Linked DNA regions of Canis lupus familiaris. The protein of the gene in region 1 interacts with the protein of each later gene in a biochemical or structural test. Links are inferred from orthologs where the notes say so. Each region holds a gene or a part of one and is shown on either strand. Other genes may lie near its edges.

Evidence for each region.
Region 2: the proteins of CACNA1A (region 1) and voltage-dependent L-type calcium channel subunit beta-4 form a complex in vitro, tested with the Homo sapiens proteins (2 studies listed by BioGRID). The link is inferred for Canis lupus familiaris from reciprocal best matches to the Homo sapiens genes CACNA1A and CACNB4.

The regions. Positions count from the first base shown.
Region 1 is NC_049241.1:49,352,347-49,363,787, forward strand, and holds part of CACNA1A (voltage-dependent P/Q-type calcium channel subunit alpha-1A), read left to right. Parts: coding exon 1-124; intron 125-469; coding exon 470-542; intron 543-2,717; coding exon 2,718-2,835; intron 2,836-2,982; coding exon 2,983-3,050; intron 3,051-6,247; coding exon 6,248-6,354; intron 6,355-8,050; coding exon 8,051-8,866; intron 8,867-11,441.
Region 2 is NC_049240.1:54,792,107-54,804,232, reverse strand, and holds the start of voltage-dependent L-type calcium channel subunit beta-4, read left to right. Parts: upstream 1-4,451; 5' UTR 4,452-4,911; intron 4,912-5,747; 5' UTR 5,748-6,276; coding exon 6,277-6,399; intron 6,400-7,287; coding exon 7,288-7,407; intron 7,408-8,696; coding exon 8,697-8,819; intron 8,820-10,258; exon of another isoform or gene 10,259-10,344; intron 10,345-12,126. UniProt on the Homo sapiens protein: The beta subunit of voltage-dependent calcium channels contributes to the function of the calcium channel by increasing peak calcium current, shifting the voltage dependencies of activation and inactivation, modulating G protein inhibition and controlling the alpha-1 subunit membrane targeting.

The DNA.
Region 1 (11,441 bases):
CATCTCTCAGGAACCTGGTCGTCTCTCTTCTCAACTCCATGAAGTCTATCATCAGCCTGTTGTTCCTCCTTTTCCTGTTCATCGTTGTCTTCGCCCTTTTGGGAATGCAACTCTTCGGCGGCCAGTAAGTGCTCAGCAGATTCCCCAGACTTCTGCTTCCCTGGGGTCAGGTGCCCTCAGACCCAGGCCTGATCCATCCAGAGACCCAGGCTCACCTCCGTCTCGCAGACTGCCCTCCTCACGAACCCCCCAGATGCCCAGGGCACTCACCCAGATGCTCAGGGCCCTGGGTACAGTCAGGGTGTCCTTCTAGGGAAGAGATAGGAAATAGAGATGATGGAGATATTGCCCTGGAAAGATTCTAGGGAATAGAGATGATGGAGATGTTGCCCTGGAGACAGGATGCTGAGCCAAACCCTCAGAGCACCCTGGGCAGGGCCAGTGTGACATGCCTGTGTCCTCCCCACAGGTTTAACTTTGATGAAGGGACTCCTCCTACCAACTTCGACACTTTTCCAGCAGCAATAATGACGGTGTTTCAGGTATGGTCTTCACCCGGCCCCAGAGGTGGACACCTCTTAGCATCCAAGATAAAAGCACCCGCTCAGTGTATGGGGGACGCCTCTTAGCATCTTAGATAAAAAAGCACCCGCTCAGTGTATGGGGGTAGGGGGGCCCTGGTGAGGGGACCAGGGTGAGGCCACCTCCAGGACGCTGGGAAGTGGGCTTAGCTGGCCTGGCCTGACTGCCCCTCCCCCTGGGGGGCTTCCTTGAATCCCTCTTTCTCTACTTTACCTTACCCTCCTGTTTTAAAATATAGGTTTTATCATTATTCAGATTTGGTGAGGCCAACAGATCAGTAGATAACTGCCATTGGGAGCTGTTATAAGATAGTTTATTGTACTTGCAGATTCCAAGAGAGGGAGTACAGGGCTCACCACACAGGGCCATACGAGGGAAGCAGCTGGGTGGGTCAGGAGGCAGAGGGAGGGGGGACGTGAGCACAAGCCTTTAACTGTGGTTTCTGCAGAAAGGATTGGAGAGGAAGGGTAAACAGATTTAGAATTGGCTCGTTTGAATGATTTCAGTGAGCTCTGGGCATAGGGGCCGTCTCAGGTTGGCTGGTCCCTGCCCTGGAGTCACTGGGGCAGGGGGTTGTTGGCTCTGAGTGTAAGAGCCCAGCCCAGATAGAGGAAGTGGTTTGGGAGTGTGGGCTCTGTATTGGTTGATTTGCATTTGACAAGCGTGCTTACTCCCCAGCAAGTTGTGTTTACTCTGTAGGAAGTAGGTAGCCCTGACTCCCTCTTGGGTCAGCAAGGATCTCCCCACCACCACCACCAAATGTCAAAGCATCAGAATCCAGGAAATAAAAGACATGATTCCTACACGCACCCTCCCCAGGTTGGCAGGCACCCCGATCCCACATTCTAAAGCAAATAGACCCTGGGTGGTCTTCCTAAACCAGCCCTTGCACCTATGTGGACATATGCCCTGAGGTTTGGGACTGACCTAGCTGTGACCACCAGAGCCTTTCTCGTGGGTTCTGTCTCTTTGGGGTGAGGGGAACAAGAGAGTGTATGGAAAATGTGACTTCACTCCCTCCCCCTCCTGGGAGGGTAATTTCTCAATGAGACCCCTAGACCAGGGTTGGAAAGGGAAACCATCCATGAAGTTTCAGCCCCCACATACATGATTGCCAAGAGTTGTAATCACCAGCCATGTATCTTCATCACAGGGGGTTTTGTCCAAGAGGGATTCTATCCCCCAAGGACGATTGGAAGTTCTAAAAACATTACTGGTGGCCACAGCTCTGGGGGAGGCGTGCTATAGGCATCTGGTGGGTGGGGGCCAGGGCTGCTGCTCAACCCCCCACAGTGCACAGGACGGCCCCACCAGAGAGAATGACCTGGCCCCAAATGTCAGCAGTGTTGAGGCTGAGAAACCTGCATTAACAGATTGACATTTTTTGGAGTTATTTCACATTTACTTTATCCTTGTGAAAATATTACAAAGGAGGGAAGCTGGATTTTTTTTTCAGTGAGCACGCCTGTCCCCTCAGTCCATCCCATAAGCATCAGGGCAACTTGCATTTGCCAGCACCTGCATCCCTGTGCCTGACAGGCTCTCCGATCACTAGCTCCCACCCTGCCTCCAGGCACAGCCGTCCAGAAGGACTAGTGATTATGTGGCTTAAGCAGCAGAGCTCTGGAGGGCCCACAGGGCTGGTTCCTGGGAAGGACTCTCTTCCTGGTTTACAGATGGCCACCTCCTCACATGGCACAGAGAGAGACAGACAGACCCAAGTTCTCTGCTGTCTTTTCTTAGAAAGAAAAGCACTGATCCCATCTTGAGAGACCCACCAACGCGTGACCTCATCTAACCCATCCCCAAACACTGTCACATGGGGGTTCAGAGCTTCAATGAATTTAGGGGGCACAGCTTCATGTATAGCAAATCCCCTTATCACATCAGGGAAGACAGAGTTACAGAAAGATTTGTGACTCCCCCAGGGTCACCTTTTCCTAGAAGCCAGGCTGAGAATCCCTCTGTGCAGGGATGTCCCTTCCCACTCACAAACGGGCAAGACCCCCCCACCCGCCGCCCCAGAGACCAGGGCCCAGAAGAGCCACTGCGGGCAGGTTCCAGCTCTACAGCTGCGTCTCCACGGGGCCCGTGGCTGAGAGGGGTTGGCTGTGTGTTTCTCCGTCCCCTTTCAGATCCTGACGGGTGAAGACTGGAACGAGGTCATGTATGACGGTATCAAGTCTCAGGGGGGCGTGCAGGGCGGCATGGTGTTCTCCATCTACTTCATCGTGCTGACCCTCTTCGGGAACTGTATCCTCCGTGGGGAGGGTGGGGGGGCAGGCCTGGGTGGCCGGTGGAGCAGACTGGGGAGGGGGCGGGGGGCACAAGGGAGGATCCAGGAAGCCCCGGGAGCCAGGGTCCGAGTGGCTGTGCTTTCCCTGACTCCAGCGCCTGCAGACACCCTCCTGAACGTGTTCTTAGCCATCGCGGTGGATAATTTGGCCAACGCCCAGGAGCTCACCAAGGTGGGGTTGGTGGGAGAATGTTTCTCCCTGCGGCAAAGTTACCACCTGCCGGTGGCAGATCAGGACCAGGCTGGGTGTGGAGGGTGGGGGCAAGGTCTGGATGCCCCGGGCCCAGGAGGAGGCAGCTCCTCCCCCCGAAACAGACTGTCCCTGACCACAGCGGATTCCACGGCCGAGGAGGTGGGAGGGGGTGAGGCAGCGGGGCTGCCACACGAAACAGATGCCAGACTCCACTGGAGTGCCCATCTATAGGGAGTGGACAGCATCAAGGGACCTCCAAGGAGTGGTACAGCCCCCAGGCTAGCAGGCATTGTCACCATCCTAGAGCTGAAAGGATGGAGACAGATGGAGATTAACCCGTGCAGGGTCTCGAGGCTCAAGGCGCGGCCCCATCAGCTTGGGAGCTGGCCGGACTTCACCTCCAAGGGGCAGCAGTAGAGAATGAGATGATGCTCATGGGTGACAGGCCTTGCTGCCATCTCCCTTTTGCAGAAGGGGAAATTGAGGCTCAGAAAGGCAAAGTCACTGGTCCCAGATGGTATGATAATAGCAGCTACTATTTATAGCCTCTCCCGGTGCACCTTAGGCACTCAACACGGTTTTTGCTATACAGTAAGTGCTCAATAAAGGGAGCCTAGGGCTAGTTACTAGGTACAACTTGGCCCTAGGGCTTTCATTGGACAGAGCTGGTAAAAGGAAGGGAACCCAGGCCTGGCAAACTCCAGAACCCGAGTTCTTTACCCACTCACCCTGCGCCCTGCTGGTTTTCACTAGAGCCCCAGCTGAGCAGGAAAAGATACAAAGTAACAACCACAGCAGAAGAGACAGCACTTACTGTTCTCTCCCATTTCACAGGTGGGAAAGCTGAGGTCCAGAGAGGTTAAGTGACCTTGCCACATAGCTAGGGGCTAAAAGGGCAGAGATGTGAGCCCCTCAAAAGAGCAAAAGTGAGAGAAGAGCAGAGGAAGTCAGGAGAGAATTTGGGAGAGGGGGCTGAGAACCATCCATGGGAGGAGAAGTTATCACTCGTGTCAGTGATGTTGAATTACCCAGGCAAAATTTACAGTCAGATGCCCCTTAGAGCAGCCTTGGACTCCCTGGGACTCGGGTCGGGCTCAGCCAGGCACAGAGGAGGTAGCATTGCTTTTAGTAACACGGCTCACCCGCCCTGGGATAGCCCATAAGCAGGGCCGCTGAGAATGGTCATGCTGGTTGTGCACTGCGCAAAGGAAGCCGGGCACCTTTTTTGCAATTTGACAGGGGGGTATTGGAAAACCGCCCCATTGCATTAAGAGAACATGTGCAGAGTCTTCCTGTCGGCCCAGGAGGGCCACGCCTAGGGCATCCCTCTGCTTCTCGGCCCCATCTCCAGAGCCTCAAGGTGTCGAACTGAACTGAGCGGACGCTGCCAAACCTTCCATCTGCTGGCCCTGGCAGGAGGGAGAGAGAGTTTCCCGGGGCCCCACTCCGACTGGGGAGAAATGGAAGTCTCTGCTACCCCAAACACACGGCCCCAGGCCTGGTCACTGTGGAGCAGGCTGGCTCCAGGGGCTGATCCAACTGTGTGCTCATCCAAGATCCAGGAGCCCATCCTCAGAGGCTGTCACAGGGCAGAGGGTGCACCAGGAGGGGTGGGAGTAGCGGAGGGAGAGAGGCAGGATCATCTGCGAAGGATGGACATCCTCCTGCAGACCCAGATTATTTCCTTCATTTATTCTACAAGTATTTCTTAGGCATTTCATATGAGGCAGGGACCCTGCTAAACCCCTGGTGTGTTTTCATCTCCTTCAATCTTCACAGAAAGCAAGGAAGTAAGTTCTCTGAGCCCCACTTCACAGATTGTGTCATTCATCCAAAAAGCATTTATTGAGCACCTACTGTGAGCAGGACCTGGTCTAGGAGCCAAGTACAGGGCAGTGAGCAAAATAGGCAGAAATCTCTGCCCTCGTAAGGCTGACATTCGAACGAGAAAGATGACAAATTTGTCAGATGGGGAGAAGTGCTGGAGAGAAGAGCGAGAGAGAAAAAGTTGGGGAGAGTGAAAATTTTAGGTGAAGACGGTGAGGCCCTGAGACGTGGAGCGACTCACCTGACGTCAACGGTAAGCGGAGGAGCTGGGATTTAAAGCCAGGGGGATCCAGAACCTGTCCTCTTAGCCACGTGCACTGCTGCTCAAACTTGACCTGCTCTTGATAGTCTCCGGGGAGCTTATTGAAGATGCAAGCTCCAGGGCCCAGCCCAGGCTCTCCCACAGGCCTGGGAGTCTGTATTTGCAGGGCAGGTGAGGCAGGTGGTCCAGGGACTGGGCTCCGAGAAATGCAGGGTGAGGTGTCAGGAGGAAGGGAGGCCTTGTGAGAAGGGGTGGCAGGCCGGATCCCACCTCTGTGTTGTCACTGGCAGCGTGTCCTGATCTGACCATTTCCGAGGTGGTAAGGTTGCTGCTTGCCCCAGAGTTCCCCGCTCAGGGGGAGAGGTGCCCTGCCGTAGCATGGCTTTTCTTATTGGTGGGTTCATCTCTGGCCATTTCTTTCTCGTTGCTTTTTCTTTGCTTTTTCTTTGTTGGCTTTTCTGTTTTACGAATGAGGCCCTGCATGAAGGCTGAAGAAGGATTTAAAGCCCCAAAACATCTTTTTCTGTATGTATTTTTAAAACATCTTCCCCCACCCTCCTCCTCTCTGAACCTAACCGGCTGAGAATATAAGCTCCTCTCCCAATTCCCCTTCTGGAGGCTGTTGGCAGTGCACGGGATGGGCCATGGGATGCCAGTTTTTTCTGCATGTGGGGGCTAGTCAGGGTGTTTTTTTAAAAGGCCTGGTTCAGAGACCTTAACCCAGAAAGTAAAGTGAGAGGAAAATCTGCATTACTTTCCGGCTCACGGAGACAGGATGCAGAGAACTCTCCATTGTGGGAAAGGAAGGGAGTCTGGTTTTTTTCTTTTAGTTTCCTTCCAGTTGTGTGCTAAAATAGAGTTAACAAGGAGCTGGATATGGAGGCTGCGCGTAAAGGGGCTAGTAATGCACTTGACCCACGGTGGGCACCTATTCCCATCTGCCGGCCTTGGCTATGGTTGCTTGACCCACCCAGGCCACACCTGCTTCTGAGTGTTTCACATGTTGCCCCTCATTACTGTAGGGTCAGAGGTGAGGCCCCAAGGCCGAGTTCACGTTTTGTGAACAGGGACTCCATGTGTCTTTTAGGATGAGCAAGAAGAAGAAGAAGCAGCCAACCAGAAACTTGCTCTACAGAAAGCCAAGGAGGTAGCAGAAGTGAGTCCTCTGTCGGCGGCCAACATGTCCATAGCTGTGTAAGTGCCCCCAACTCCAGAATGCTATCCAGGCTCCTCAGCCTATACCCCCTCCTGGTCAACGATTCGGGGGCCAGGAGCAGTCCCTGACAGGGTTGAGGTACGTCTGTTCTCCCACCCCCTTTTACTTGATAAATAGTTAATAAGCACCTCCTATGTGTCAAGTATTGTTCTAGCTGCTGCAGAGACAGCATTAACAAGAGGTTAAGGGGTACAGGGAGAGCTAGGGCTTGGGAGAGTTGGGCTTTTAAATAAAGTTGTCAGGGAAGGCCTCACTGAGGTGATAAGACCTGAAGGAGGTGAAGGAGGAGCCAAGGGGGGATCTGAGGGAAGAGCATACCAGGCAGCAGGAACAGCATATGCAAAGGCCCTGAGGCTGGGATGTGCCTGTTGTATTTAGGGAACTGGAAGGAGGCCACTGTGACTGAAATAGAGGGAGGGAGGGAGGGAGGAAAGTGGGAGGAAGTAAAGACAGGTGACAAACATCGTTCAGGGCCTTGTGGGTCACGGGTGGGACTCAGACCTTTGCTCTGAGTCAAGTGGAAGCTATGGAAGGTTCTTGAGCACAGGTAGGACAAGACCTGACTTGGGTGCTCATGGGGGCTCTCTGGCAGCTGTCAGGGGAACAGACTGCAGGGAGCATGGGTGGAAGTCTGCGGACTAGGCTCCTGGAAGAAAAAACTTCTTTGGTCCATGCAGAAGGGATAATGGGACTGGAGTAGGGTGGTGGCCCTGGTGGTGGATGTAGCTGAATTCTAGACAGATCAGGAAGGTAGAGTGGACAGAGTCTGCTGGTGAAGCAGAGGCACTGAGGCGCTGAGTGAGATTAAGGTTAATGTGAGATCCATTGACACTGATACTCCGAATTGTGCCTGTGTCAGGTGTCCTGAGGATTTTGTACACTGTGGGGCAGTGCATCATGTGACGGTGGGGAAGGGGCTTTCTTTGCCAAAGTGGAAGGAGGTGGCTGTGAAAGGGGAGCCCGGGAAAACACATAATCAGACCAGTGACTTTAGCACAGTCTGTGGAAGACGATGGTCTGTATAAAACAATCAATGCACACAGAAACCCTGGAAAAGTCTGTATACTCCGGGCTGGGCTCCAACCTGGCCAGCTCTCCAGCAGCGGCCCTGTGGGTAAATAGGCACCAGTGGGTAAAGAGGTGCTGCCCCATGACTCCCAAGTGCCCACCCTGGCTCTCTTTGGGACCACCCAGACCTCTCGTACCCCAGAATTAAAGGGTCATGCAGGCCCCGTGGGTGATTCCAAAACTCGCTCCAGGCCAGTGTCCATGAGGATCGGCTGTCTCAGAGGTTAAAATATTTTGAACATCAGGGCAACACCTCCCAGGGGGTCATGTGCGACCATTGGTCATGTGCAACGGGAATGCCCACGAGGGCTGAGGACAGCCCCCCCCCCCCCATTAGACAAAATATGCAGTCAGAATGAGACACCTACCCAGGTCTAAGGCACTTGCTAGGCCAAGATGTCCAGCCAGGTTGAATTTTCTGCACAGGCTGAGACCAGGTTGGGAGGAGATACCCAGCCAGGCCAAGATACCCTCGTGGGCCGCGATGCCCAGTGAGCCAAGACCACCTGGGTGGAGACGCCCAGTGGGCAGAGACTCCCTGCAGGCGGAGGGGCCTGCGCAGGCCTGGCCCCGCGGTGCTCTAAGCCCTGCGCCCTTCCCTTGCAGGAAGGAGCAACAGAAGAACCAGAAGCCCACCAAGTCGGTGTGGGAGCAGCGCACGAGCGAGATGCGGAAGCAGAACCTGCTGGCCAGCCGGGAGGCCCTGTACAACGAGATGGACCCCGACGAGCGCTGGAAGGCCTCCTACGCCCGGCACCTGCGGCCGGACATGAAGACCCACCTGGACCGGCCTCTGGTGGTCGATCCCCAGGAGAACCGCAACAACAACACCAACAAGAGCCGGGCGGCCGAGCCCACGGTGGACCAGCGCCTCGGCCAGCAGCGCGCCGAGGACTTCCTCAGGAAACAGGCCCGCTACCACGACCGGGCCCGGGACCCCAGTGGCTCGGTGGGCCTGGACCCCCGCAGGCCCTGGGCGGGCAGCCAGGAGGCCGAGCTGAGCCGGGAGGGGCCGTACGGCCGCGAGTCGGACCACCACGCCCGGGAAGGCGGCGGGGAGCAGCCGGGCTTCTGGGAGGGCGAGGCGGAGCGGGCCAAGGCCGCGGACGCCCACCGCAGGCACGCGCACCGGCCGGCCGGCAGCCGGGAGAGCCGCAGCAGCTCGCCGCGCACGGGCGCCGACGGGGAGCCGCGCCGGCACCGGGCCCACCGCAGGCCGGCCGAGGAGGGCGCGGACGACAAGGCCGAGCGGAGGGCCCGGCACCGCGAGGGCAGCCGGCCGGCGCGGGGCGGCGAGGGCGACGGCGACGGGCCCGACGGCGGCGGCGGCGAGCGCAGGAGGCGGCACCGGCACGGGCCCCCGGCCTCGTACGAGGCGGACGCGCGGAGGGAGGACAGGGAGCGGCGGCACCGGAGGAGGAAGTAAGTGCGGGCGACCCCGGGCAGGGTGGGGACCGCAGCGGCTGCGATGCCGGGAGCCACGGTGGCGCCTCTGGGGCCTCTCGCGTCTCTCTGCCGCCCCCGCGCGGTAGATCCCGCTGTCGGGGGGAACCGCGCCGCGGAGCCGCGGGCCCCGGGTCAGCCGAGTCGGGCCGCCGGAGGCTGCAGGCGCACCATTTCGCCCTTGTGCGTCCGGGGGAAAATCTACGGGGAATCCACACCCGCCCACCCCCACCCCCCCCCAAGAATTCTTCAGCTCTTCCATGCACTTGCTGTGTGACCTTGGGCAAGGGACTTCACATCTCTGGGCCTCGGGTTTGTCGATCTGTAAAATGGAGATAGCGGGATCAAACTGGGTCATTGCTGGAGCTCCAACAGACAATTCATGCCGAAGGCCGGAAGAAGAGCGGCTGACACATAAGGGCTTGGTACATGTAGACCATTTTTAGCTGTTAATGAGTCAGCCATCTTTTTACCTGATGCTATTCCTGAGGGATTTAAAAAGCCACACTGGGCCCTCAGAATTGAAAGGAGAGCGGGGTTGAGGCCACTTCCAGGCCAGCACCGTATGCAGTAGGAAACAGCCTCCTTGTTTTCTTGGTATTTTGTGACAATCCTTCGATGGTTCTGTAGTGACTCTACATGTAGGAGCCCAACCATGTTGAAGCACACATTGGTCTTGTATTCGCTGATGTCCTGTTAGTCTTCTTTATATCACCACGAGGGCATCATATTGATTTCTTAATGATGTGTTTAAGAGCCTGTTATATGACCTAGGCGCTAGGCCAGCACTTACCAAAATTGAATGTGTATGTGAGTCCCTGGGGATCTTCTTAAAATATGGATTCAGTGGGTCTCAGGTACAGCCTGAGATTCTGCATTTCTAAGGAGCTTCCAGGTGAGACATGATGCTGGTCCAGGAACCACACTTTGAGTAGGGAGGCTCTGGAGGGCAGAGTGAAGTGACTCAGGGCCCAGTGTGCAGAATCACCATGAATGTGACAGCTACACATGCTGGCCGGCTCCCAGTGGTACAGGCAGTTAGGGTGACACAAGGGAGTTGCCACTAGTGTTGAGATTTTCCTAAGTGGATAATACCTCTTGGCAAAGTTCCATATGAAACAGAGTCTAGGCTTCCTTCAATATGGCCAGTAGTTGCATTCCGGGAAAACGGGGTGTGTATTTAAAACATACAAGGGGCACCTGGGTGGCTCAGTCGGTTGAGTGTACACCTCTTGGTTTCAGCTCTGGTCATGATCTTGGGGTTGTCAGATCTAGCTCCACATCAGGCTCTACACTCAACGCAGAGTCTACTGGAGATTCTCTTTCTCCCTCCCCCTCTGCCCCTTCCCGTACTTGCACATATGTGTTCTCTGAATAAATTAATTAAAATCTTAAAAAAAAAAAAACATGCAAGGGGAGCACCTGGGTGGCTCAGTCAGTTAAATGTTTGACTTCGGCTCAGGTCATGATCTCGGGGTCCTAGAATCAAGCCCCACATTGGAATCCCCACTCATTAGGGTGTCTGCTTCTCCCTCTCTCTCTGCCCCTCCTCCTGCTTGTGCTTCTCTCTCTCTCTCTCTCAAATGACTAAATAAAAATCTTAAATACAAGACATATGTTATGCTGATATATAGAACAGAGGTTAAAAACCAAAGACACAGGTCATTACAAGCAATTTTTCATCTGTGTAAGGGACATTAGTCACGAAGGAGAAAGGTTAATTCTTCCCCAGGTGGCCCTGCCCTGCACATGGTACGATGTTTTGTTTGCCTGCCTCCCATTTCCTAAATGCCCACAGTGGCCTCCAGGTGCTATGTCATTAGGTCTGCATGTGACTGCACAACAGCCTCCTGAAAACCATCACTCCAGATCATCCCCATGCTATCTCTTCTCTTAGGGGTTTATTCATCCATCCCATCAGTGTTTACTAAGTACTTACTACGGTCCTAGCTGGTGCGGTGGATTCAATCATTAACTGCAGGTGACAGGCATGCTAGGAGTGGTCTGGGGCTCTTGGAGAAATAAGACCAAGAAATTGTGCCCGGGCCGGGCTCCCAAAAGGAGCAATCTGAAAAGGGAGTCGAGTGTTCTAGGCTAAGAATAGCATGTGCAAAGGCCCTGAGGTAGACCAGAAGGAGGCCGGTGTGCAGTTTGGAAGGTGAGGAGAGAGTGGCAGAAAAAGAAATGGAAGGGACAGTGATGGGTCAGCAGGACCTCGAATCCTCTCAGGGCAAGGAGAGGCCACAGAAAGGATTTTTAGGTGGAATACAGCATTTAGAACATGACTGGATAATTAAGGACCAGTGATTCATTGATGCTGTTCTTCTCACTACTGCTAATATTAATATTATTGTCATCCTTGTTGTTATATTACTCCTGTGATTAAAGGAGGCCGAGTGATGGGGACGGAATGCAGCACAGCCTGCTGGTAAAGGGCAAGAACCCTGGAGCGAGAGATCACACTCATGCCCATCACTTCCCACCTGTGGGATTTGTAGCATCTCCCTTCCACTCTGTGGGCCTCTGTTGCTCATCTGTAGAGTGGGTATGAGAG
Region 2 (12,126 bases), on another chromosome or scaffold:
TAAGGTTCGGTTTCAAAAGTTCCCTGCTCAGCCACAGTGCCAGGAATGCACCATCGCACCCAGTAAGCATGAACCCTGGGCAGCTAACCAACCTTCCTGGAACTTAAAATCATGGAGCAAAAAAAAAAAAAAAAAAAAAAAAAAAAGATGTTGACGGGAGCAGGCATGTCTTTCTCTGAAGAAAGCTGAGCTGGCGCTGGGCACCCGTGTCCTCGGAGACAGCGGCTCCCTGCCAGGCTGGGTGGCCGAGCAAAGAGCTCCAGGTATGTCCGGGGACGAGGGCAAAGGAGAAGAAGGTACCTGCAGGAAGGCAGGGCCGGATCGTAGATATTAAGGGTGCCGAGGGGCCTTTGTGCTTAGGGCAACCTTGTGGGTGGTTGCTATTTCCCCATCTGCTGGGGAAATCTGGGGAAATAACCAAGAAAGGCAGAGCAGAAAGGTGCATGGCCCAAGTCATGGCAAGCTCGGTGGGGACACCGAGCCTCAATCTGTTGGGAGCGATACGTTTCTCCGGGCGCTTGATCATCACTTAGTCCAGGTTAGTGCAGCTACTTAAACTCCGCGTTTTCACCAAGGCGGACTTTCACTTGTCTGATCCGGCAGTGAAACCGACGCTTGGAACGTCGGCTCCGGTGCAAGCGTCGGCTCCGGTGCAGCTCGCTGCGGTGGCCCCTCGGCGGGGGGGGGGGGGGGGGGGGGGGGGGGGGGTGGTTGTCTGACTCCGCATTATTATTATTTAAAGTATCATTTTCTGTAATAATAAAATGAATTATTTTATTTATCGTAAAAAGTGAAGGAAAATGAAATTTTAAGCATTTAAAAGTCAAACGAGAAAGGCAGTTCCTCGTGGCCCTCGTCGCTTGGAGGGCTCCATCCCCGGGGGCCGGCGGCGCCGAGCTGGGGGTGCTCCGGGCCCTCGGGTGCACTCGTGCACCGTCTTGCACTCTGGCGTCTTGTTAGTTCAACAGAACGACCCAGAAGGGTTTCACTGCCGTTCTGCGGGGAAAGATCTCAGCAGGTGAGGCGTGTTCCCTCCGCAGCGGCCGCGGGGCCCGCACGTGGCAATAGGTGACCACCCGGCTGAGCCACCCGGCTGAGCCGCCCCGTCTGGCCTGATGCTGGAAGCTCCGGCAGTGGCCGTGAACACATTTTAGTGTCACACGCTCGTCAAGTCTCCCTCCCCTTTACTCTTCCATGACATGACCCTAAAATACGCGCAAAGCACAGTAATAAAACACAAACAGTAGAGTAGAATAATGAGATACAAATACTAAAATCCTTCATAAGAAGGGAAAATGTATTCCAGTGTGGAAAGGACAAGATCCACGAGTGGGCGGGTGCCTGGGTCTCACGGCGCGGGTAGGGGGGGTCCGGGAGGGGCTGCAGGGGGCTCAGGACTCTTCGAAGGTGGCGGAAGGGCTCTTGTATTGGATTGTGGTATAGATCATGTTCTGGAAGCTTATTAAAAATCATTGAGTTAGGGAACGCCTGGGGGGCTCAGCGGTTGAGCACCTGCCTTCGGCCCAGGGCGTGATCCTGGGGTCCCGGGATCGAGTCCCGCATCGGGCTCCCTGCAGGGAGCCTGCTTCTCCCTCTGCCTGTGTCTCTGCCTCTCTCTGTGTCTCTCATGAATAAATAAATAAAATCTTAAAATCATTGAATTGTACATTTTAAATGTATGAATATAAATCATGCCTCAGTAACACTGTTTTTTTTTTTTTTTAAATAATAAATGAACAAAAGAACAAGCTGTAGATCCTGAAACCCCGGGGCAGCCAAAGCTGTACTGCCAACAAGGTGCAGAGCTTGAGTGAGTCGAAGATTAGTTGCTGGCGTTGCCTGCATCTCCCTAATGGTGGCAGAAGGAGGGGCGTTCCCTCTCCACCCAAGCACGGGAGGCGCGCCAGGGTGTGTATCATCATCCCCGTCCGCGGGGGAGGACGTGGACGCTCAGAACGTTGAATCCGTTGCCCAAGATGTGCGGCCGGTAGGACCCGGCAAGGGCGTCAAGTGCAGCCCGTGGGTGCCTCCTCCCCGGCGCCGGGCCCCCTCTCTGGGAATGGGGGGCCCTTCCGTTATTTGACTTGAGGCCACTTTCCTTCCTCCACAACAACAGTAAACTGATGCTCCAGTGTTTCTATCAGTGTTTTGTCTTTGGTGCTCGAGATTCGTGAAAAGGCTTAAATCTGTTTTCAATATTGAAAAAAAGGCAGAGAAAGAGTCTTGAGCCTTATGTTAATGGAAAGATAGGCATTTCTTTCTTTCTTTCTTTCTTTCTTTCTTTCTTTCTTTCTTTCTTTCTTTCTTTCTTCTTTCTTTCTTTCTTTCTTTCTTTCTTTCTTTCTTTCTTTCTTTCTTTCTTCTTTCTTTCTTTTTTTCAAGATTTATTTTAGAGAATGAGCAGGGGAGAAGGGCAACGGCGGGGGCGGGGGTGGAGAGGACCCTCAAGCAGACTCCCTGGTGAGCACAGAGCCGGTGCAGGGCGGGCGCTCAGGACCCCAGGCCGTGACCTGAGCCGACACCCGGACGCAGCCACCCGGGAGCCCGTTTCTTGGGCGTTCGCTACTATGCGTTATGTTACGGCCTCTAAATGGTGTCCATGCATGTCCATGGGCGTGCGCATGTGCACGTGTCCACCTACAGCAGCATCTTGAAGGAGAGACCTGCTTCCGTTCGCTCCTGGGGTCGTTGGCTCGTTGGCGCCCCAAGCTCTGGTTTGTCCCGGGTCTGCGTGGGAACCCCTGGGCTGGCTTCTCTGTGCCTTTCGCGCAGGCTCGGCTCCCCCGGTGGGCCGGCTAGCCCACGCTTTGCCAACTTTTATGAAGGGGAATTCTGGAAAACGGAAAGCTAACGGGGCCGCGTCTTCCAGCTTTGCCCCTGCCAGTGACCTTTACGTGTGCACCTACGTCCTCGTGGTGTCCTCAGTGTCGCCGTCTTGCCAGTTCCCTGCGCCTGATCAGGAATGTGTAACCAGCTCCCGCCACAGCCCTTGGTTGTACCGAGCCCGCGGCAGCCCCTCCCCTTCCAGAGCCTTCCTTGGTCTGGCCCCGGCGGTCGTCTCCTCCACCGCTCTGTGGCTCTTGTGGTCCTTCTCTCTGAGCCTTGGTACATAACCCAGGGGCTTCCTGTTTTCTTCTCCATCTTTCTCCTGGGCTATATCTGGCCCCTCTTTCACGCAGTTGAAACAAAACCAAACAAATAAATAAAAACAAGAAACCACTGCTGTGCCAAGCCAGCGGAACTCGTCCACGGGCCGAATTTGGGCTCTTGATGGTGAACCTCTGTTTTCCCTAGGACCCTGAGGCTCAGCAGCGGTGACTTCCCTATTCAAAGAAAGGTAGATGGCATTGAAAAAAGAAGGAGGAGGGGGGGGAGGAGAAGAGGGAGGAGGAGGATGGGGAGAGGGAGGAAGGGGAGGGGGAGGGGGATGGGAGGGGGGAGGAGGAGGGAGACAAGGAGAGGAGGAGGAGGGGGAGGAGGAGGAGGGGAGAAGGAGGAGGGGGAGCAGGAGGAGAAGGGGAAAGGGGATGGGAGGAGGGAGAGGGGGACAGGGGGGAGGAGGGGGAGGAGGCGGAGGGGGAGGAGGGAGAGGAGGAGGAGGTGGAGGAGGAGGGGGGAGGGGGAGAAGGAAGAGGGGGAGGAGGGAGAGGAGGAGGAGGCGGAGGAGGAGGGGGGAGGGGGATGGGAGGGGGGAGGAGGAGAGGGAGGAGGGGGAGGGGGACAGGGGGAGGAGGAGGAGGAGGCGGAGGAGGATGGGGAGGAGGAGGAGGCAGAGGAGAAGGAGGAGGGGGAGAAGGAAGAGGGGGAGAAGGGGGAGGAGGGGGAGAAGGAGGAGGGGGAGGGGGACAGGGGAGAGGAGGAGCAGGAGGGGAGGAGGACGAGGAGGGGGAGGAGGAGGAGGGGGGAAGGGGAGGAGGAAGGGGAAAAGGACGGGGAGGAGGAGAAGGGAGGAGTAGAAGGAGGAGGAGGAGGAGAGGAAGGAGGGAGAGAAGGACTTGGAGGAGAAAGGGAAGGAGGAGGAGGCAGAGAAGGAGGAGGAGGAAGAGGGGGAAGAAGAGGAGGAGGGGGAAGAGGATGGGGAGAGGAGGAGGAGGGGGAGGAGGAGGAGAGGGAGGGGGAGGAGGAGGGGGAGGAGAAGAAGGAGGAAGAGGAGGAAGGGGAAAAGGAGGAGAGGGAGAAGGAGGAGGGGGAGGAGGGGGGTAGGAGGAGGGGGAGGAGGAGGAGGAGAGGGAGGAGAAAAACCAGAGTAAATGTGGAAATGATGTAACGCCGTGATTATGAAAACGAATATCGAACGTCCTGGTGCTTTAGCTTTCCCTCTACCAATATTCTTAGAAACAGGGAAGTAAACAGAAGCTTCTGCTTTCACACATTTGGCAATAGTAGAGCTCATTACGTAATTTTGAAATTTTCACAGTCTTGTTCCCATTTCAAAATCGAGTTCATTTGCAGGAGCCCTTTGAGTCGCCTCCTGCGTGCCCAGAGGTGAGGGGATGCCGGGATGAGGAGTCGTCACGGTGGTTTGGGGGTGAGCCGTGCCCCGAGTCCCCGGCGGCCTGTGGCGGTCGCCCGCTCGCGGCTCCAGCAGGCAGCCTGCCCGCTCCTGGGCTGCGGCCACCGGCCTCCCCAGCACACGGTCTCAGCACGCGGCAGGTGCCTCCTTCCTGACTCCGCGCAGCACGATCCCGAGGCGGCCCAGGCATCGTCACGCAGCCAGTCCAGGAGCTTAAAATGATGGACGGCACGTGCCACCCGTCAGCGGGGCGGCACCTCCAGCTAGCTCCGACCGGCTCTCATATGTAGCATTTTAGAGACACTGTTTTCTTTCTCTCTTACCCTGGATTTTTTGCAGGTCCGCCTAAATTTGGACAAAAGATGTGTTCCAAGAGAACCCATTTAAAGGACTTCAAGGTAGCTTTCTTTTTTTCTAGCAATGAGGGGTCTCCAGAATAGTCGGTCACCCTGTTCCGATCCATCTTGTACATCCAGATTTTCCCCAAGCACTTCTGCACAGAGGAATTTGGTTATGATTTGCTTGACAAATCCATTTACCCTATAAAGGGCACTTTCTTTTCTTTTCCTTTTTTTTAAAATTATTTTATTTATTCATGAGAGACACAGAGAGAGAAGCAGAGACACAGGCAGAGGGAGAAGCAGGCTCCATGCAGGGAGCCCAACACGAGACTCGATCCCAGGCCCCCAGGGTCACGCCCTGAGCTGAAGGCAGATGCTCACCCCCTGAGCCCCCCACGTGCCCCAAAAGCACTGCATCAAGGGCCTGGGTTTGGGCACATTGCAGTTACCACAGGTGTGATCATTTTGCAACTTATAAATGCATCGTCTGGGATCCCTGGGTGGCGCAGCGGTTTAGCACCTGCCTTTGGCCCAGGGCGCGATCCTGGAGACCCGGGATCGAATCCCACATCGGACTCCCGGTGCATGAGGCCTGCTTCTCCCTCTGCCTATGTCTCTGCCTCTGTCTCTCTCTCTCTCTGTGACTATCATAAGTAAATAAAAAAAAAAATTAAAAAAAAAATAAATGCATCGTCTCAGCAAATCATACACCTGGAACTTACATGATGTCCTACGCCAATTACATCACAGTAAAGCATTGGGGGGAAGCATTGGGGTTTTTTGGCAACAAATACGTCAAGAAAAATGGAGACTTTCCGAGATGGGCTATTGTGCACGTATATTATAAATGAGTTGAAAAAATGATTAGCATCTGTTGATTTCTTTTAACCCAGCGTAGGTGTGTCAGGACTAGGAGACGGGGAAGAGAATGGCCGTTTAGTCTGCGCTTGCCACGTGCCGCATCCTGGAGGAGGTGTTGGAGCATGAGAGCAGCTCGGTGGAGGGCTCTGCCCAGTCAGCCCATGGCTTCCGCACTGTTCCAGGGCTTCGGGGGCAAGGCGTCAAGGCAGCGAGCCGTGTGCTGGCCCCGGTGCGGGGGGGTTAGCTGCTCGTCACGTCTTACTCCGTTCGCGTCTTCCAAGTAAGCGGCGTCCGCTTGTGTGCAGGGAGCGGCGGAGCCTGGAGTGGCCAGGGCAGCCCGCGCGGTTTTCCAGAGTGAGTTGCAGAGGCAGGATCCAGAACCAGCCTCTGTCGGGCATTCTGATGAGACCTCTAAGCAGGGGTTGCTGTCCTCGGGCGCCGGGAAAATCTGCGCTAAGCCCGACATTTCCGAGCTTAGGAGAAGCTTGAAAGGATCCGTTTCGGCGGCCACCATGCCTAGGGCGCTTCGGTGTGTGCAGCGGGTAGCAGGTTCTCAGCTACATGGACATCTCCGCTTTCCAGAATCTGTGCGTGTTTCTGGAACCCGCCGGGTACAGCGGGTCTGTCGAGAGCTGTGCCGTGCGAGTGTCATCGTCTGCGCAGACACCAACCTGTAACGGCAGCGTAAGGACGGCAAGGGCGATGTTTCCTTAGCAACCGGGAGGCAAACCTAAAGGATTTTTTTTTTTTTGACTTTTTAAGTAGCTGCTGTAGTTTTCACGTCCTCTTGTGCCGTGAGCAGTGAGTGACGCTGGGCGGCCCCAGCACCTTGGCCACGTCCATGAGGCTGGACGCCGGGGTGGCTCAGGTAGCGTCTCGGGCTGTGTGCTGCCATCGAGGACAGCCTTGTGTTCATCCCGAAGGCTCACGCGTGGTGGCCGCGGGGACCGGGTGTGACTCCCGTGGGACGGTGACTGGAGCTTGCTGTGTTGGGGAGCTGGGAGGGACGGCGGGCGGGACACTCTAAGCAGCTCCACGCCCTGCACGGAGCTCACAACCCTGAGAATATGGCCCGAGTCGAGACCGCGAGTCGGACACGCCGCCTTCCGAGCCCCCCGGGGCCTGAGGTTGTCACAGTGGGTTCGACGGTGTGAACAGCGGCTCGGGGGACGCGATGACGGCCGCAGGGCTCCGCGTTGCGGCGTGGACATCTCGGGTAGAGCCGTCCTCTGTAGCCCAAGCTGTGGGCACAACCGGACGCGTCTCGTGGGCTGAGGGCCTTGTTCCCTCCCGCGTGCGTGAGCAGGAGACCGGGACTACGGCTGGGCGCGCGGGGGGCCCAGAACATCAAGACCTGGGCGCGGGGTCGGCGCCGTGTTCGCTGCCGCTCAGCTCCTGGCCCTTGACCAGTGGCCCGGCCACCTCCCGGGTCCCTGGGAGGCCTGGGGCGTCGGCGTGACCATGCGCCCGCGGCCGCGGTGAGCGTGTGCCCGGAGCCCGACGGCAGGGGCGAGCCGCGCGACGGGGAGGCCGCGGCCCTCGGTGTAAACGGCTCTGGGTGTTCCCTTGCAGGGCTCAGCGGATTCCTACACCAGCAGGCCGTCCGACTCCGATGTGTCTCTGGAAGAGGACCGGGAGGCGATTCGGCAGGAGAGGGAGCAGCAGGCCGCCATCCAGCTGGAGAGAGCCAAGGTGACTGTCCAGCCTCGCTAGCTCCGCAGCGCAGCGCCCGCAGGTGCTGCCCCGGCCCCGCCTGCACCTGCTGGCCAGGCTCGGGCCGAGCGGCTGGGCCCCCACCGAGGCCCGGGCCCCGCACCTGTGTCCCCCGGCACCGCTGCCCGCTGCACCCCCCCCCCCGTGGGTGCAGAGCTTGTCCGTGGGCAGCCACGGCCCCGAGGCCTCGCCTGTGCAGAGGGCACGGCCCCCGCATCTCTGTGCCCACGGGAGGCAACGGGGCAAGCTGCCGCTCTGGATCTGAGAGGAGTCACCCGGGATCCCCGTTCTGTGCCTTCCAAGCGGGTTTTTTTTTTGTTTTTGTTTTTAGCCTGGACTCCCTCTGTCTGATGTCATTTTGCATCAGATTTTATGCAAAACGAGACTGAGGCTGTGGCCCGCCGGTCTCCCTTGCCCCCGGTGACACGCGTCCAGGGCGCACTGATGCAGCCTGACCTCCGGAGGAAAAACGGAGGCTCAAATAATACGAATCCCTTCCTTTCTTCTGTTTTTACAGTAAAGGCTCTCTGAGAGCTGTGGGAGGAGGGCGACGCTGTCCGGGGCGTCTGCCGGGGCCCGTCTGTCCACTGGCTTGGCTGGAGGGGTGCGGGGCCGGCCGGGCAGGGGCCCGGGATCCCAGGAACCTGCGCCCTCCCTCGTGGCCACGGCTTGGGTCCGCTTCCTCGCAGGCCGTCTAGTGGCTTTTGCAGGGACCCGCAGCCGAGGGGCCGCGTCCGCCGGGAGCCTCTGCGGGGGGACTTGGCCTAGGAGGCATCAGAACCAGCTCCCGCTGGCTTGGAGGGGACGCCGGGCCTTCTGTCTACCCCTGACTGGCCTTCCTCTTTCCGGGCAGGACAAGGCGATCACTCCACTAAGGGGGATTCCACAGGGGTTTTCAGACCTGAGGCTACTTCAAAAAATTTTTTAAAAAATTGATTTTACTCCCACCTCCTTTTAATTTAAGGCCTAGCCCACATTTCCTGTGTCCCAAGGGGCATCTATCACCCTTTAAAGTGACAAAAATCAGTTTTAGGAGTGGAGGGCCAAGAAGAGAGCCTCCCCACCCCCCTGTCCTCCCATCGCCCCCCAGGATGTTAGGGCAGGTCCTCGGTGGGGGGCGCCTGGCGGGTAGCGCAGGACGGGGAAGGCGGTCGGGCTGATGGCGAGGAATCCCTTTTCGAGTCCTCGCGGGGGATTTGTCCAGGCTGCCAGGGACGTGGAGTGGCTCCCCTTCCTGCCCCGTCCTCACGCCCTGCTTCTGTCCCCAGTCCAAGCCCGTGGCATTCGCTGTGAAGACGAACGTGAGCTACTGCGGCGCGTTGGATGAGGATGTGCCCGTCCCGAGCACAGCCATTTCCTTTGATGCCAAGGACTTTCTCCACATTAAAGAGGTAAACGTAGGACTCTGTGCGTCCCCCGAGCTCCGGGAGGCGAGGGCCGGAGCCGGCTCTGAACCAAACACAGCCGAGCGGAGCCCGGGGCAGATGCCGCTGGGTCACCTCACTTAATTTCGGGGCTTTCCAGATCCATTCGTTGTCAGTGAGGTTTAGGGGACCGAGAACGTCGCTTGCATGGTCACATTGGATCATAGGAGGGGGTCGTCATAGGAGGGGGTTAGGACGGATCCGTGGTCCCCTGGTCACCTTTCAAGCCCCTGTGTGCCCGCACAGACCTAGGGACCCAACTTAGGGAAACCGGAATTGGTGGCCTGGCGCCCACCCCTGAGGGACCGTTCACAGGGGATATTGTAGCTATAGACGTCTGTGCCGTAACCCGCGGACCTTGACCGTGGAACCAACACGGAGCATAACCATCGAAGTGTTAAGTCAAGAAGAGGGCAGAGGACTTCGGGAACCAGGAAGCTTAAGGGAGTGAGCAGCACGGGGAGGACTTGAGGCCTTGCACCCCGAGAGGTGGGATCATGGCCTCAAAAACGTTCATTTAGAAATCCTACTTCATCTCGGACGTGGTGCCGGGCGCTGCGAGATCAGAGATGACGGCACACGGTTCCCACGGGTCTCGGGTGGAAGAGACTGGCAGGTGCCTGGTGTCTGCTCAGGGTGATAAATTCCATCATAGTAAAAAGGCAGGGGTATTGGGGGACCACCTGGCCTGGGGGAGGAGGATCAGGGGCCCGGGAGCTCTGGGAAGGGCTGGGCCTGGGGGGTTCAGGCTGGGCGGCCGCGGGGGCTGGAGGGCAGTGCGAGGGGGAGGGAGCCGCACAGGGGACGGGCCAGGGCGCGGAGGGTGGCCTGCGAACGAGCCTGGGCCTCATGAGCCGGCAGCGGGCTGGGGAGGGGTTTTACGCGTGGGCAGGTGCAGCCGGCCTTGTATTAGCATAGCAGGGGCCCAGGGGGCTGCCGAGGCGGGAGGGCAGTGAAGGGCGCCCGGACGCGGCCGGGAGATTGCACACGGGCAGCGAGGGCGGAGGCAGTGAAACAGGACGATGGAGAACGGCCAGCCGTGGAGCTCCCTCGGAGGGCAGAGGCCGTGCGGGTTTTCCAAATAAAGAAGGGAGGGTGTGCTCGGACGGACGGAGGGGGCGCGGGGGCAGAATAAGGAAGGTAGAGGGACGCCTTGTTGCAGGGAGCGTGTGCGCAGGACTTAGGCTTTAGGAGCCACGTGTCCGGGGCATGAGAGCCTCGTGAAGCCCCGATGGGCCTCTACCCGCATAATCTGGGGGCCAGAGGACAGGAAGAGCGGTTTGCTCTCCCTAAAAGCTTTGAGTTGAAAAGGAGAGTGCATCGTAGCCAGAAAAAAAAAAAAAAAGGTCAGTTATAGAATCGAGGGAGTGTCTTTAAATTTTTATTTGCGTCTTTATTTTTTTAAGGTAGGAAGGATTTCAGCCTGTTAGCCACGCGGAGACGTTGAGCCCAGGGACACGTTGGAGGGAGAAACCACCGCTGATTGCGTGAGGTGCCGGCGGAGAGGGGAGGGACAGCGTCTGGGAGGCGGCCTGAGGAACGAGGCCGAGGAGGGGCGCGGTCCTCCCGCCTCCTTCTGCCCGGGGCTTCCCGATGGGGCCGGGGGGCGGACGGCGGACGGCAGAGGGCGGACGGCGTCCCTACTTGCCGGTGGCTCTGCGAGGACGGAGGCGACGGAAACCGGTTTTAGGAAAAAGAGAGGGGGACAGTAAAGGGACACCTGAGGCATGTGATCGACATACGGCGACCACTCCACATCGCTGGGACACCTGCACCTGCCACCCCGCCCGCCGGTCCTAAACGAGCTGCACGCGGTGAATGTATGACTGCTCTGAAAATCGTTGTCTCTGAAGCTCTGCATTCTGCGATGGCGCTAGTGACACCGAGACGTACAGAGTTCTGACGCTTTGGTGGCAAGCAGGTCCGACCTCTGGGTGTCTGCGCCGTGGCCGTGTGAGCTGGCTGGGGCTCTGTCTACACTGTCCCTTTGCTCCGGTTCTCATTCAAGGTCTCGTTCTTGAGCCTTTAGCCCGTGCCCGGCCCTGGCAGGTGTTGTCAGCAAAGCAGACAGATTCCAGTTCCTCGTGGACGTCAATCCAGTGGGGAGACAGATCATAAACAAATGATTCCAAACCGTGAATGCTTTGGGGGGGGGGAGGAAATGAAGCAGATGCTCAAAAATTTGAAGTAGAGGGATGAGAACGTCACATATCCTGTTAAATACGGGGGTGACCAGAGAAGGCCTTTTGGATGATGCGACCTGACAGCCGAAGGGGAGCCAACCTCAAGGAGAGCAAGAGGAGCCTTCTAGGGAGAGGAGGCACCATGTGCAATGAGACATTTTATTCTATTTGTGGTAAGAAGCCGCCGAAGACTTTAAAAACAAAGGAGTGGGATGAATTTATTTATTTTTTTTAAGCTGTTCTGATTATCGTAGAGACCGCGATGGATGGGGGGGTTGGGTAGGGCGGGTCAGTGTGGAGCCAGGGAGACCGTTAGCACCATTCTCGGTGAGAGACCGTGGCACTGAGCCCGCGTGGCAGCAGCGAGAGGGAAAGAGGTAGACAGATTGGAGGCCGGAGGTGTGTGGCCGGCATTCGGCGAGGAGAGCTGGTGATGGAGCAGGGGACGAGCCTAAGGTGCGGGAGAACGCGTGTGTGGTCAAGGAGGTCGAGGTTTGTGACCTGAGCAACCGGGATGCAGACGCCTGAGGTGGGGACGGAGGGGCCCGCTGGGGAGGGGACATCTCAAAGGACGTGTCAAGTGGAAGCTCGACGTACGAATCTGGAACTTGGGGGAAAGGTTGGGCCAAAGGTGTCAGTTCAGGTCATTAGTTGACGTGTGGCGTTTAGAGCTGTGATGATGATCCAAGTCCCCTAGAGAGGGAGGAGCGGGAGGAGAGAAGGCAGCCTGACGGCAAATCTGAAGGGATTGCGTCCTGCACAGGTGGTCCACGTGAATGGCCTCACAGACAAGGAAGCGGAGCAGGAGGAGCCCGAGATACGCGGGGAAAACCAGGGCGGAGCGATGCATGGGCAGCAGGGGAGGAGTGTCCCCGAGGAGGAAGCCACCAGCCGTGGCGAGTGAGGAGTGGGGAACGGACTCTGGGCTGGCATCCGGGGGTCAGCCGCGTGGGAGTCATCGGGACGGTTGTCTGGAAGCCGAACGAAGGAGGATGAGGAGAGAAGGGCCCGTCAGGAGGCGCTTCTGGCAAGCGCAGAGCCTGCCCTCGAGGGAGAGGACGCGGCCAGTCTAGCCTGCAGATGCAGATGAT